2 linked regions of the Drosophila melanogaster genome follow. The protein of the gene in region 2 purifies or fractionates together with the protein of the main gene of each other region. This does not show direct contact. Each region holds a gene or a part of one and is shown on either strand. Other genes may lie near its edges.

The links.
Region 1: the proteins of elg1 (region 2) and Eaf6 purify together in Drosophila melanogaster (affinity purification with mass spectrometry, with the first as the bait; one large-scale study listed by BioGRID). This does not show direct contact.

Annotation. Positions count from the first base shown.
Region 1 is NT_037436.4:5,606,452-5,610,098, forward strand, and holds Eaf6 (Esa1-associated factor 6), read right to left. Parts: upstream 1,850-3,647; 5' UTR 1,783-1,849; coding exon 1,636-1,782; intron 1,569-1,635; coding exon 1,355-1,568; intron 1,233-1,354; coding exon 1,101-1,232; intron 1,015-1,100; coding exon 830-1,014; 3' UTR 711-829; downstream 1-710. Other genes in the region: mthl2 (methuselah-like 2), read left to right, coding at 21-215, 272-365. UniProt on the Drosophila melanogaster protein: Component of the Enok complex which has a histone H3 acetyltransferase activity. Might be involved in transcriptional activation of selected genes.
Region 2 is NT_037436.4:16,130,221-16,137,495, reverse strand, and holds elg1 (enhanced level of genomic instability 1), read right to left. Parts: upstream 5,469-7,275; 5' UTR 4,983-5,468; coding exon 4,258-4,982; intron 4,203-4,257; coding exon 1,710-4,202; intron 1,301-1,709; coding exon 1,030-1,300; 3' UTR 805-1,029; downstream 1-804. Other genes in the region: CG5157 (uncharacterized protein), read left to right, coding at 435-794; Trs20 (TRAPP subunit 20), read left to right, coding at 5,914-6,000, 6,058-6,390; SsRbeta (signal sequence receptor beta), read right to left, coding at 6,793-6,990, 7,213-7,275. UniProt on the Drosophila melanogaster protein: Has an important role in DNA replication and in maintaining genome integrity during replication stress. Promotes PCNA deubiquitination.

The sequences.
Region 1 (3,647 bases), about 11 Mb from region 2:
ATATTATCAATTCGTTACAGTTACACACAATTTCTGCTGCTCTTCACTGTGATGGGGATGTCGTGGAGCTTTGAGATATTCTCCTACTTGGTGCAACGCGAGAAACTGTGGGTCAATATCTTTCTGGTAGCTGACTACTTCAACTGGTCCCAAGGCGTCATTATATTTGTGCTATTCATTCTGCGGCGCAAAACTCTTGTACTATTCAAGAAACAGTAAGTCTTATAGTTCATAGTTCGGGTAACCAGTTCCCTAAAATGTCTCTTTTCAGAATATTTCCCAAACAGAGAGCCTTTAGTAGATCTGCAACTCAAAGTACGATTGAATCCATTTCTCAAACAAAAAGGCATTTTAACATGACATAGTATTTTCTTCTCTTCGAATTAATCAATTTAATAGTAAAGTATAACTTTTTTTCTCACAAAATGTATGAATATATTTCACTTCATTCTACATTCTATATAGAATTCATTTAATCACAAAATGTATGAATATTTTTCTTTATATGACGTGCATCGACTATAGAAAATCGACTATAGTGTGCCACAATATATTTTACTCATCATTTCCTAATCAAACTATTGCAAACTTAACTTTGAGCCGAGGAAAAACCCTGTATGTCTATCAAAACTATGAGTCAAAAGTATGACGCGATGCTGAAAGTAGTTGCCTTTAAATATTGAAGTGATAAATGTAGAAAGAAGACATTTGTATGGAAATAAACTAAGTTTGTAAATCTACATTCGCTTTATTTCATGTACAAATTTTAATTTAAAAACTTTGAAGGTAAATAGTGCTTTATCAGATGCGGATTACACGGTAGCAGTTATCATCGATGTCGAATCTTCTTGTTTATGTGACCGCTTTTCTTCGCTGTCGCACTGGAGTTCGTGGATAGTTTGCTCTTTGTATTCGAAGTGGGTGTGCCGAGGAGATCCTTGTTCCCTCCACTGTTCGTAGATCCAGACACCATTCCGCTCACTACGCTGCCCTCATTGCGATGCGAGGGTGAATCTGTAAATAAAAAGGTGTAATTAAACATATATACTTTTCTGGAGAAAAGCGCTAAAGTTGAATCTCAATGTGCTGTGCTGCCTTACCCTTTTCGTCTTTCGGTGTGCTCTTGATTGTCGTGGTTCCGTCGTGGGCCGTTGTGGTGTTCTGATTGATTGAGATCTGATTGTCGCTGGAGTCTTCATTTGTGATGGAATCCGATTCGCTGGCGCGCTCAGCTAAAGGCGAATAAACATACTCATGTATGGCAACTAAAGCGTATCAATTTACACCCTTCTGGGCATAAAGCCTAGATCGATTACACAAGCGAATGACACAGTATGAATTATCCCCCACTTACGATTGCATATAGCCATGGAGGTGATGCTGGACTTGGAGAACAGGCGCTCGGCCTCCTTGAACTTGCGATTCCGCTTGTCGGCCTTGGAGTTGGTGGCCTTGTTGGAGGTCAGATAGCGCTCCCAGCCTCGGATGATGTTTCCGCACAACTGCGTGTCCTCTAGGTAGGAGCCCTCGAAGGCGTAGATCTGTCGCTCCAGATTGGCCAGTTGTTCCTGTCATTTATGCAACAAAAAAATGATAAAGTGCTGCGATTTCGGGTTTGTTTATATTGTGTCTCACCGATGTTTCGGCCTTCTTCTTGATGAGGTCCGCCAACTCGGCGCGAGTGTCCATGGAGCCGCCTTTCGTATTCGAGCTCGTTTTGGCCGACTTCTTTGGCTTGTTCCCGTTCGTTTCGCTGACATTTTTACTCGTTGGCGAGCTCATATTTTCAGAAAATGCTCGAATTTCAACAAATTTATATTTTGTTTTGGACAATGTGACCGGATATTGATAAAAAGTAATTACAATTAATCGATTTACGGATATCTGTTCCGACTATCGGTTTATGTCTTTGCTGAAATATGCATGCTAGTTCTTAACCTAATTGCATAGGTGGCGTTGTCGTTTTTCTTTAACAAGCTAATTTATAAACTATTAGTTTGAATGAATAAGTCTTATATTATTTGTGTATATGTTTTATAGATTCTTTAAATGTTAGTTTCTGCACTTAAAATTCAAAGTTATTTCATAATAAATCCATTGAAAGTTTGTTAATACTGCATTTATTCACTTTTGTAAGTGAATAGGACTGCCGAAATCAAAAAATAGCCCAGGAAAAAAAAAAACTGGTCAAAGAACTCAGTTACAAAACTTGATGACCATTTATTTTTGTAAGATTTTTCTTATTAGATCCATATGTTTTTTTTCACATTTTCTTAGATTTTATTTAACAGTGCTTGCCCCTTCACCACTTTGCATTTTGAAGCCAGTGTGGCTGCCATTGACCTCTCGTCTTGTTATTTTTATTTATGCGTATACCACGGACAAAAGATTCAGTTCAGCTGTAGCGCCATCATCATCGTCTTTTTGATGGTGATCTTCTAATGATCTCCCCGTGGGTCTTGCATAGTTTGTTGACCCAAGTTCGTTTCAAAGTTTGTTGAACTGCCGAAAAAAAGTGAAGCTACCGTTCTAGCTCTCTATTTCTTTCCGAACCCTCTTTCCTCTTTTTCCGCCTTTCGCTCTCTTGCCGCCTACTCTTTCTCTTTTACTTGGCTCTATTTTGGCTACCGCTTTTTATGGGCCTTCGTCGTCGCGCCTATTTCACTTTCGTCATACGCGGCGTATGCGTGATTTTATTTCTGCAGCACATCGCCTTTCGCGCTGACTATAGGAAAGCAATATAAAGTGAGGCTGCGGATGAAGACGAACTCGATTAGAAAATGAAATCATAATGCAGCGGGCAGCAAAAGCGAAACGGCAACGACCGTTGCAAGTCGCTGACTAAAGCAAAGTCTGCCATTCCGTCGTGTTCCACTAACACAATCGACTTAGTGACTAGGTGACTAACTGGCTCAGTGGCTAAGTGACCGACTGACTGACAGACTGCAGTCTATTCAATGTATGTCAAACATTGGCGCGCGCTTATTCGCGAAACAACAAAAAGTGCAGCAAAAAAACTTTCATTTTATTTAAACAAACACACAAGGCGCGGCCTGGACTTAGACTTGGAAAAACTTATTTATATTTGGTTTTAAGCAAACATCTGCCAACTGAAAACTCTGACGTTCGATCGTCTTAAGCCACCTTCTTCTGGTTTACACTGGGAAAAATATTTAGAAGTTTATTGTGGCTGTCAATAAAGATACGTTAGTTAGTTACTTCTTAATGTATTTGTAACTTCTTCGATACATTTTTATTAATATACATATATTTTTTAACTTAGTTTTTAGTTTGTTGCTTACTGCAACTGTTTTTGGTCAGTGCTGCCATTGGATGGCAGCTTACTATAATTTTTATGATGAATTGCCTGGCCGCGTGTGAAATCTGCAGCAGTCGCAGCATTGGCCGGTGGAAAAGTGGAAAACTGCCAGAAAAGTGGAACACAGCTAAAGAAGCAGCAGTGTTGCAAGTGCAACAACTGCGGCAGCAGCAGCAACACAAACACTCTCGACTAATTAGCTGCGTTTTAGAAATTCAGGCGGCAATGAAAACAAAATCGAGTTCAATGCTTGCAACGATGACGTTGTTGTTGCACTCCGCTTAGTGTGTTTTCGACTTTTCCGAGAATTTCACATATAGCATACATA
Region 2 (7,275 bases):
CGCCATCCATTTGCATTAATGATTTGCACAAATCCCACCCAAAAAAAGGAGATTGGTCACTGCCCACACTAGTAGCAGGTCGCCTTGAAAGACGGTGAAATTCTCACGTATTTCTTATCAACCACAATGCAGACAGATTGTGGAAATAACTGAAATAAAACAGCAAATAGTAATTGCCCGTCGAGGGGGAAATGGGGGAGAACAGGTACAAGGCAAGTACAAGCGATCTAGGCGATTGTTTGAACTATTGATAAATGTTAAACATAAGCAAGGGTCGCCCCTTGGCACGCGTCCAGTGTTTCCGAGTCCGTCCAACGGTTAACAGCTCCTAAAATTATCGAATCAAGAGCGCGACTTATTAAACGCAAATTAACAGCAGCCATTAAAAGACATTCGCGAACAGCGGAAAGCAATTAGGAAATCAAATCAGCAATATGTCACAGTTGTACGAACTCTCGGAGGTGGCCCAGCAGAACGGCAAGAATGGCAAACCCTGCTGGCTGATCATCAAGGGGAACGTGTACGATGTAACCAAGTTCCTCGGCGAGCATCCTGGCGGCAGTGAAGCACTACTCGAATATGGCGGCAAGGATGCCACCAAGGCCTTCAAGCAGGCAGGCCATTCCTCCGACGCAGAAAAGGATCTAAAGAACTACAAAATCGGAGAAATCAACTCAGCTGCACCCATTCAAGTGCAGCCAACGTCCAATGGTGCAGCAAAGCCGACGGCAAACACAATATCCGAAGATCCCGAACCCGCGAAGAATAGCTCCTCCGGTTTCTGTTGCTGCTAGTCATAGGTTTACATGTCATTTGATTGATTTATTAACATAGGATGAGGTCGTAGTTAGTTTATCATAGTTAAATTGTAAATAGTTCTAGGTTTATCTCATAATAGCTACATCTTCATGTCCACAAAGCTATCTTAAAAAAGATCAACTCTTCTTAAACGATCTGAATAAATTGCAAACAAAGCCGGCGGAGCTGCTCCACCAATTTCAAAAAAATTAAACTAAATCCAAACGATGCCTAATCTTTCGGTTCGGCCTCCATGGTTGGCTCGCTGCTGGGGGCAGCCGATTGGAACGTACTGCATGCAGTGTCAAAGTAATCCGTCGTGAAACTGGTCACGTTTACCGTGTGGTTGCGCAGATAGTGATAGAATCTACTCGACTTCCGTTCCAGTCCTGCCCGTTCCTTTTCGCTGCGGCATATGGAGCGCAGGGCGGGCTCGAAGTCCAGCGATTTGGCGGAGTCGGAACGGAGAACTCCGTTGCCCAGGTGCTGGCAAATTGAAAACCTGGAAAGATTACAGAAAGTTATAAAAAATGAAAAAATTAAAGCATAACTAAAATAAGTTTGGTATCTAATTAGTGAAAAGTCTGGGCACTAATTTAATGAATAGGTGTGTTCCTAAGATAGTTATAAGATCGGTCATTTTTATGACAAGGCTATTAGAATTCCGAACGCTAAAGATATCTTGTGACTAGTTGTTATTATGACTGCTGGATGATAACAAAACCCCGGTTTCCTTTTTCCATCGATTACTGCCATGACAGCTAATTAAGTTAGCATTATTAAGCCTTAAAATGTGTTTAAAGCAAAATAGATATAGATACAGATAGATATTGTTAATAAAGATCTTTTGATATTAAAGTGTTTATATATTGGCTTAGTTAAAGAGTAACTCATCATTTTGAAAATCTTACCTCTGAACCGGCTTATCAAATAGATTGTAGGGGCACTCCTTGGTCGCGAGTCCAGTTTGGAGAGCCTGCTCCACCAGCAGGTGACCGATTTCTTCGGACAGGTGCCACTGCAAGCGATCACTGCAGTCGGAGTCCATCAACGAAGCCACCGAAATGTTGTCATAGAAGGATGCCAATGTGGCGAGCGATGAGCTGTGCCCATCGGACTTCTGCCCAGTGGCGCTGCTCAGCCAGGCCTTCTTTGGTGAGCGGGACTTCCGCTTGGCAGCGGTTCTACTTCCACCGCCCGCTGCCTGCTGCTCCTTTAGCATCGCCGAACTAGCCATAAGATCGGGGAGATTCAAACGCAAGAGGCTGAAGTCAACGGGAAAGGGTATTCGATACTGGACATTCTGCGGGCTTGTAAAGAACTCAAAGAATCTCTGATGGATTCGACTGCCATCGACGGTGGCCAGCCGGCTATTTGAGGTTTTGGTTGGTGATTTAATCCCACCGCCAGTCCTATCGCGAGTTGAATCTCCACCACTCTGAATGTAGAACTGAAGTTCCATCAACGTCTTGCGCAGATTCTGTTGATTGTATAGATACACGGATATCAATTCGTCCAACTCGATGGGACAGTTTTCCATTAGCGATAAAACGGCCAAGAATCGGGAGATGTTCAATGCGTTCGGAGCTTGGAAATGGATTATATTCTGCTGCATTAGGCGCTGCAAGTGCGCGCAATTCGGATCCGTGGCAACCACAATGACCGGCCTCTTGGAACTGGCGGCCAATGTATAAATGGCATCCGTAAATCCAGCGTCCAAGTTATCAAACAAGATATCCGCATCCTCGATTAGGATCAGAGACTTCCGTACTTCGGAAGGAGGTTCCACTGCGGCTGCTTTTGCTTTTAATCCACTCTTTTGCAACTTTTGAAGCAACTGCTGTGAGGATCCTCCACCCGCTTTACCATCTTTCCTTATCTGATGCGACTGCGTGGCCTCTTGAAGTTCCTGTATCAGCTTCTTGCCCGTCCTCTTCATCCCTGCATTTATCTCCAAGACATTAAAGTTCATGTCGTTGGCTAAGGTAAAAACGGCATTGGTCTTCCCGCTGGATGAAGGTCCGACCAGAACCATCGTGTTGCTACTTGAGCCCATTGATGCCGAATCATTGCTCATGTCAAAGGTGTCATCCATGCCCTGCGAGTTTCGATTGCTACCTCCATTGCCACTCCAGCTGGACAGGAACTCCCTAAGCTCCTGCACTGGCGTCAGATTCACCAGAACCTGTTCGAACAGCAGCGGTTTGTACTTCTCCGTAAAGAGCAGCTCGCCATTCGGAGCGGAAGGCGGTGGTTTCGCCTCCTCTTCGTTCTGTGCCATATTCTGCTCCATTGAACGGCGAGTGCGACGTGTTACCACCAGTGATTCTCCCATTTGCTGCGTATCCTGTGCACTGTCAATGGCGCTGAAGTGGCGATACTTCTCCCTCATCTGGTTATAGCACTTAAAGGTGGGAAACCGATCGAAATCATTCTTCCAGAGCTTCACAAAGCCACGTTTATTTTCCAGCTGTGGCAAAGTTGCATAGTTGAACTTGTTCAAAGTTTTGCTGGATGTAAAATCCGCGGGCAGACAGCTGGTGATGCTACTCGCTTTGGCACGTCGTTTGTTGGCGGGTAACGCTTTCGTAACCTCGGAATATTCCTCTTCTGCCCTCAGAGCAAAGGGAATGTCCAGAGGACCGTTTTTTGAACCGAAGCTCTCGCAGCCTATATGCGCCAGTCTGGGAAACACTTCATAGCTATCTTCGTACATCTGGTCGAAGTTCTTTTGACGGATCTGCTCCTGTCGAATTTTGTCCGGAACTCCGGATTGCAGAAACGCCTGTCGAGCCTTCAAAACCGACGGATCTGGGCTGGGCTTTGGCAATTGACGGACGAATAGCGGCGCTAGTTTCTTTGGTGTGGCAGCTGGATTACTATTGTCTAGGTCAATAATCTCTACAGACTCGTCTGCCTTTTGGGGCTTCGCCTTTTGTTGCTTGCCGGGACTCGTTTCCAGATCGTAATCGTAGCGCGCTTTGCCCACACACGATCGTCTTGGTCTTGACGAGGGAGTGGATTCGGCTACAATGGGTGTCTCTTGCTGGCTCTTTCTGCGCAGTGTTCTTCGCTTGGGTGTCTCCATGGGTGGGGTTTCTATCGCAATGATCACCTTTTCAGCTAACTCCTTCGGGGATTCCACTTTGGGAAAGTAGCCCAGCAGGCTGTCACGCTTTTTCGTGGGCGACGAAAGCTTCGAGAGAAGCTCCTCTGTTCCTGGATCTTGATCTTTTGCTTTCACGACCGGGGGCTTCGATTCCACAATTTGGTTCTGTGCATCCATGGAACTGATTCGTCGAGAGCGCGGTCGACCTCTTAGACGCTTGACTGTTGGATCCGTGGGTGCCGAGGATGGAGCCGTCACCTCTTTGGCGTCAGTCTTGGTCAGCATTTTTCGCAGTCTAGGGAAATAAAATGTTGTATAGCGCTCTGAATCTAATTCTTAATCAAACTCACCTCTTTGCCCTTTGCTCCATCTGCAGCTCAATGAACTCCCCGCGAGCTTCGTCCGCTAGTCTTCTCTTGGCTCCCCCCTTGCGTTCGTTCCATTCTTGGAGGAGAAGCTTCCGTTTGGTGGTCGGCGTTGCTGCCTCACTGCCGATTTCTTGATCCGCGGGAGATTCTGCCCCACCTTCATTAACCCCCAGAGAGCGATTCCGAGCATTCATCATGAACTCAAAGACATTGGTGGTTGGCTTCGGTTTGGCTGTGCTCACCGGAGAAACACCCACGTTCTCCGGCTTTCCCGCCTTGGCGAAGTGCTTCATGATGCTCTGATTGTCGGCCACCGGAGTGCTGGACTTCAGCGGACTGGACCGCCGCCGACCGTTCTTGAGACCGTTTTCTTGGGAGGATTTCTCGCGAAGTGGCTGCGGTTTCTCTTTGGCATTCGCCTTGACCTCCTCGGTGGTGCTCTTCTGGTCCTCCATGAGTGCTGCGCGGCGCTTCTCCTCCCGCTTTCGCTTGTGCTTCTCCCGATGCTTCTGCTTCACCGAGTTCAGCACTTCCTCCATGTTCTGGAGTATCAGTTTGGATTTGGCGCTGGGCGGTGCTCTCAGAACGAACGGAGATGTGGGCTCGACGGGATCCGTGGCCGCATTTTTGGAGGGAGTTCCTGGTGGACTCGCAGTGGTCGTTGTGGGTGCAATGTGCTCACTTGTAAGACAATTTACATCGGTCATTTTTGTGGGTCTCTTTTGCTGTTTTCTTTTTGGGTTTAGGCTTAATGCATTTTGCTGAGTGTGTGCGTGTGTTTGTGTATGGTGTGGTATTCTTTTGTAAGATCTAAGTACTTAAGCAATTGATATATCTACAGATAATACGAAAGCCAAACTCAAAAGATCGCAAATGAAGATCGGGGGCAAAAGCAAAAACATGACAACAATACAATAATAATGAGATCTACCTTCGCAGCGACTTTTCGTTTTTCGTATTTGTTACACTCCCGCACACGCACACACACTGCCGCGATCGAACTGGTGTCCCGTTGATCGCGATCCTCTTTCTAACGGTACTTGGGCCTCAATATGTTATTACTTTCCGGTGTCTACTTTATGCGTTAAATATCATTTTATACAAGTTTGCTTAAGGTATAAATTGTTAGCACAATGTGCTGGGGGGAAAAAAGGCGCGAAGAAACGGTGTTGGTAAACAGTGGAGGGGTAACTATTTCCAGCACTGATCGGCCAGGCAGAAATTAATTTGTTGCACTCTCATTTATGCTTTTTAATAATTTGTTTGTAAATTTCTATTTTTACTTTGTGAAGTAATGATTTTATATTAATAATATAATTACCAAGACTAAACGGAATAATTATAAGGTTGTGTATTAGTAGAGAACAAAAACAGAATGAAATACATTTGTAGGAATCACCTAATATTTAATTATATTTTATATTATATTAATTATAATTATATTTGTTCTTTATACAATTTTATACATTGTATTTTATAGTTTTATTAAATATTCCCGCTTAAAAAATAAAATGTTGTTTCTATTTAAATTACCGCAGCTGTTGGTGGTAATTTAGATGACCTGATTCGATTTGGTATTATGGGAACTTTTCCAGATTTGGTCACACTGCCCTTTACACTGTTTTGGTTTTCGTGAAAATGTCCACATACTACTTTGTTATTGTGGGTCAAAATGATAATCCCATTTACGAGAAGGAATTCAGCACCGTGAACAAGGAACTAAGGGTATGTAGACCTGGGCAACGTCTCATAGAACTGTGTAAATACATTCTCCTTCTGCAGAAAGAGGACCACAGGCACCTCACCCAGTTTATTGCCCATGCCGCCTTGGATTTGGTGGATGAGCACAAATGGAAGACGGCCAATATGCAGCTGAAATCCATTGATAGATTCAATCAGTGGTTTGTTTCGGCCTTCATCACAGCCAGCCAAATACGATTCATCATCGTTCATGACAACAAAAACGACGAGGGAATCAAGAACTTCTTTAACGAGATGTATGACACGTATATCAAAAACTCCATGAATGCCTTCTATCGCATCAACACACCCATTAAATCTCCGATGTTTGAGAAGAAGTCGGAGATCTTTGGTCGGAAGTATTTGTTATCATAAATTTGTTAAAACCTGTAGCCATTAAGTAATTGTGTAATATAAAACTTGAAATAATTTAAAAGCATAACTTTACCCTTTCTTATACAGTTGAGAAGACCCGAAACCAATGAATAATCTAGTTTATATTTTATTTAATTTATTTAGAAAAGCAGCCTAGGCTTAACATTGATGGACTTGTTTTATTCACTTTTTACTCAATGCGCCCTCGAATCAAATCTAAAACGATTTAACGCCCGTCTCCAGACGACAGTCCCAGACTGGAGTAAATTAGATGTGTGGGTTGAATAGATGAACAACGCATGGAATCAATTTGAAACTAAAGCAACAAAATATACGGAATTTGTAATGGGTCTTTGCAAAGAAATCTCTTGGTGGTGGCGAGGAAACCGTCCGTCCTGCAGCTTAGTGCTTCTTGTTCTTTCCAGAGCGCTCATATTTGCTCTTGGACTGGTGCCACAGAGCCAGAGGAATGGCCAGGGAAGGCAGAGTCATCACGGCGAAGGCCACCCAGTCGAAGAAATGGGAGGAGAAGCGCTTGTTGTACTCGTTCAGGTTGACAATTCCACCCTCACCGGGCTCAGAGCTGACCGCCAGTTGGAGCTGCAAGAATTGTTGGGTATTAAGTTCTTTGATCGATCTTTCAACAGGTAACGGGCATTTTTAAAAGACTGTTGTGTATAAATTCACTTAGTTGAGATTATTAAATTTAAAAGTGAATGATTTTGGTTTGCTTTGGCGGTGGCTTCTGTAACACTGAGATTAGATAAGATTTTTCAGGGCGGACACTGAGATTTGATGCCCCCACATTCAGCTATAACTTACCGTCTCCGACTCCTCGACAGCCTTGTAGGACACCTCGGCGGCGGTGAAGTTGAAGTAGCCGAA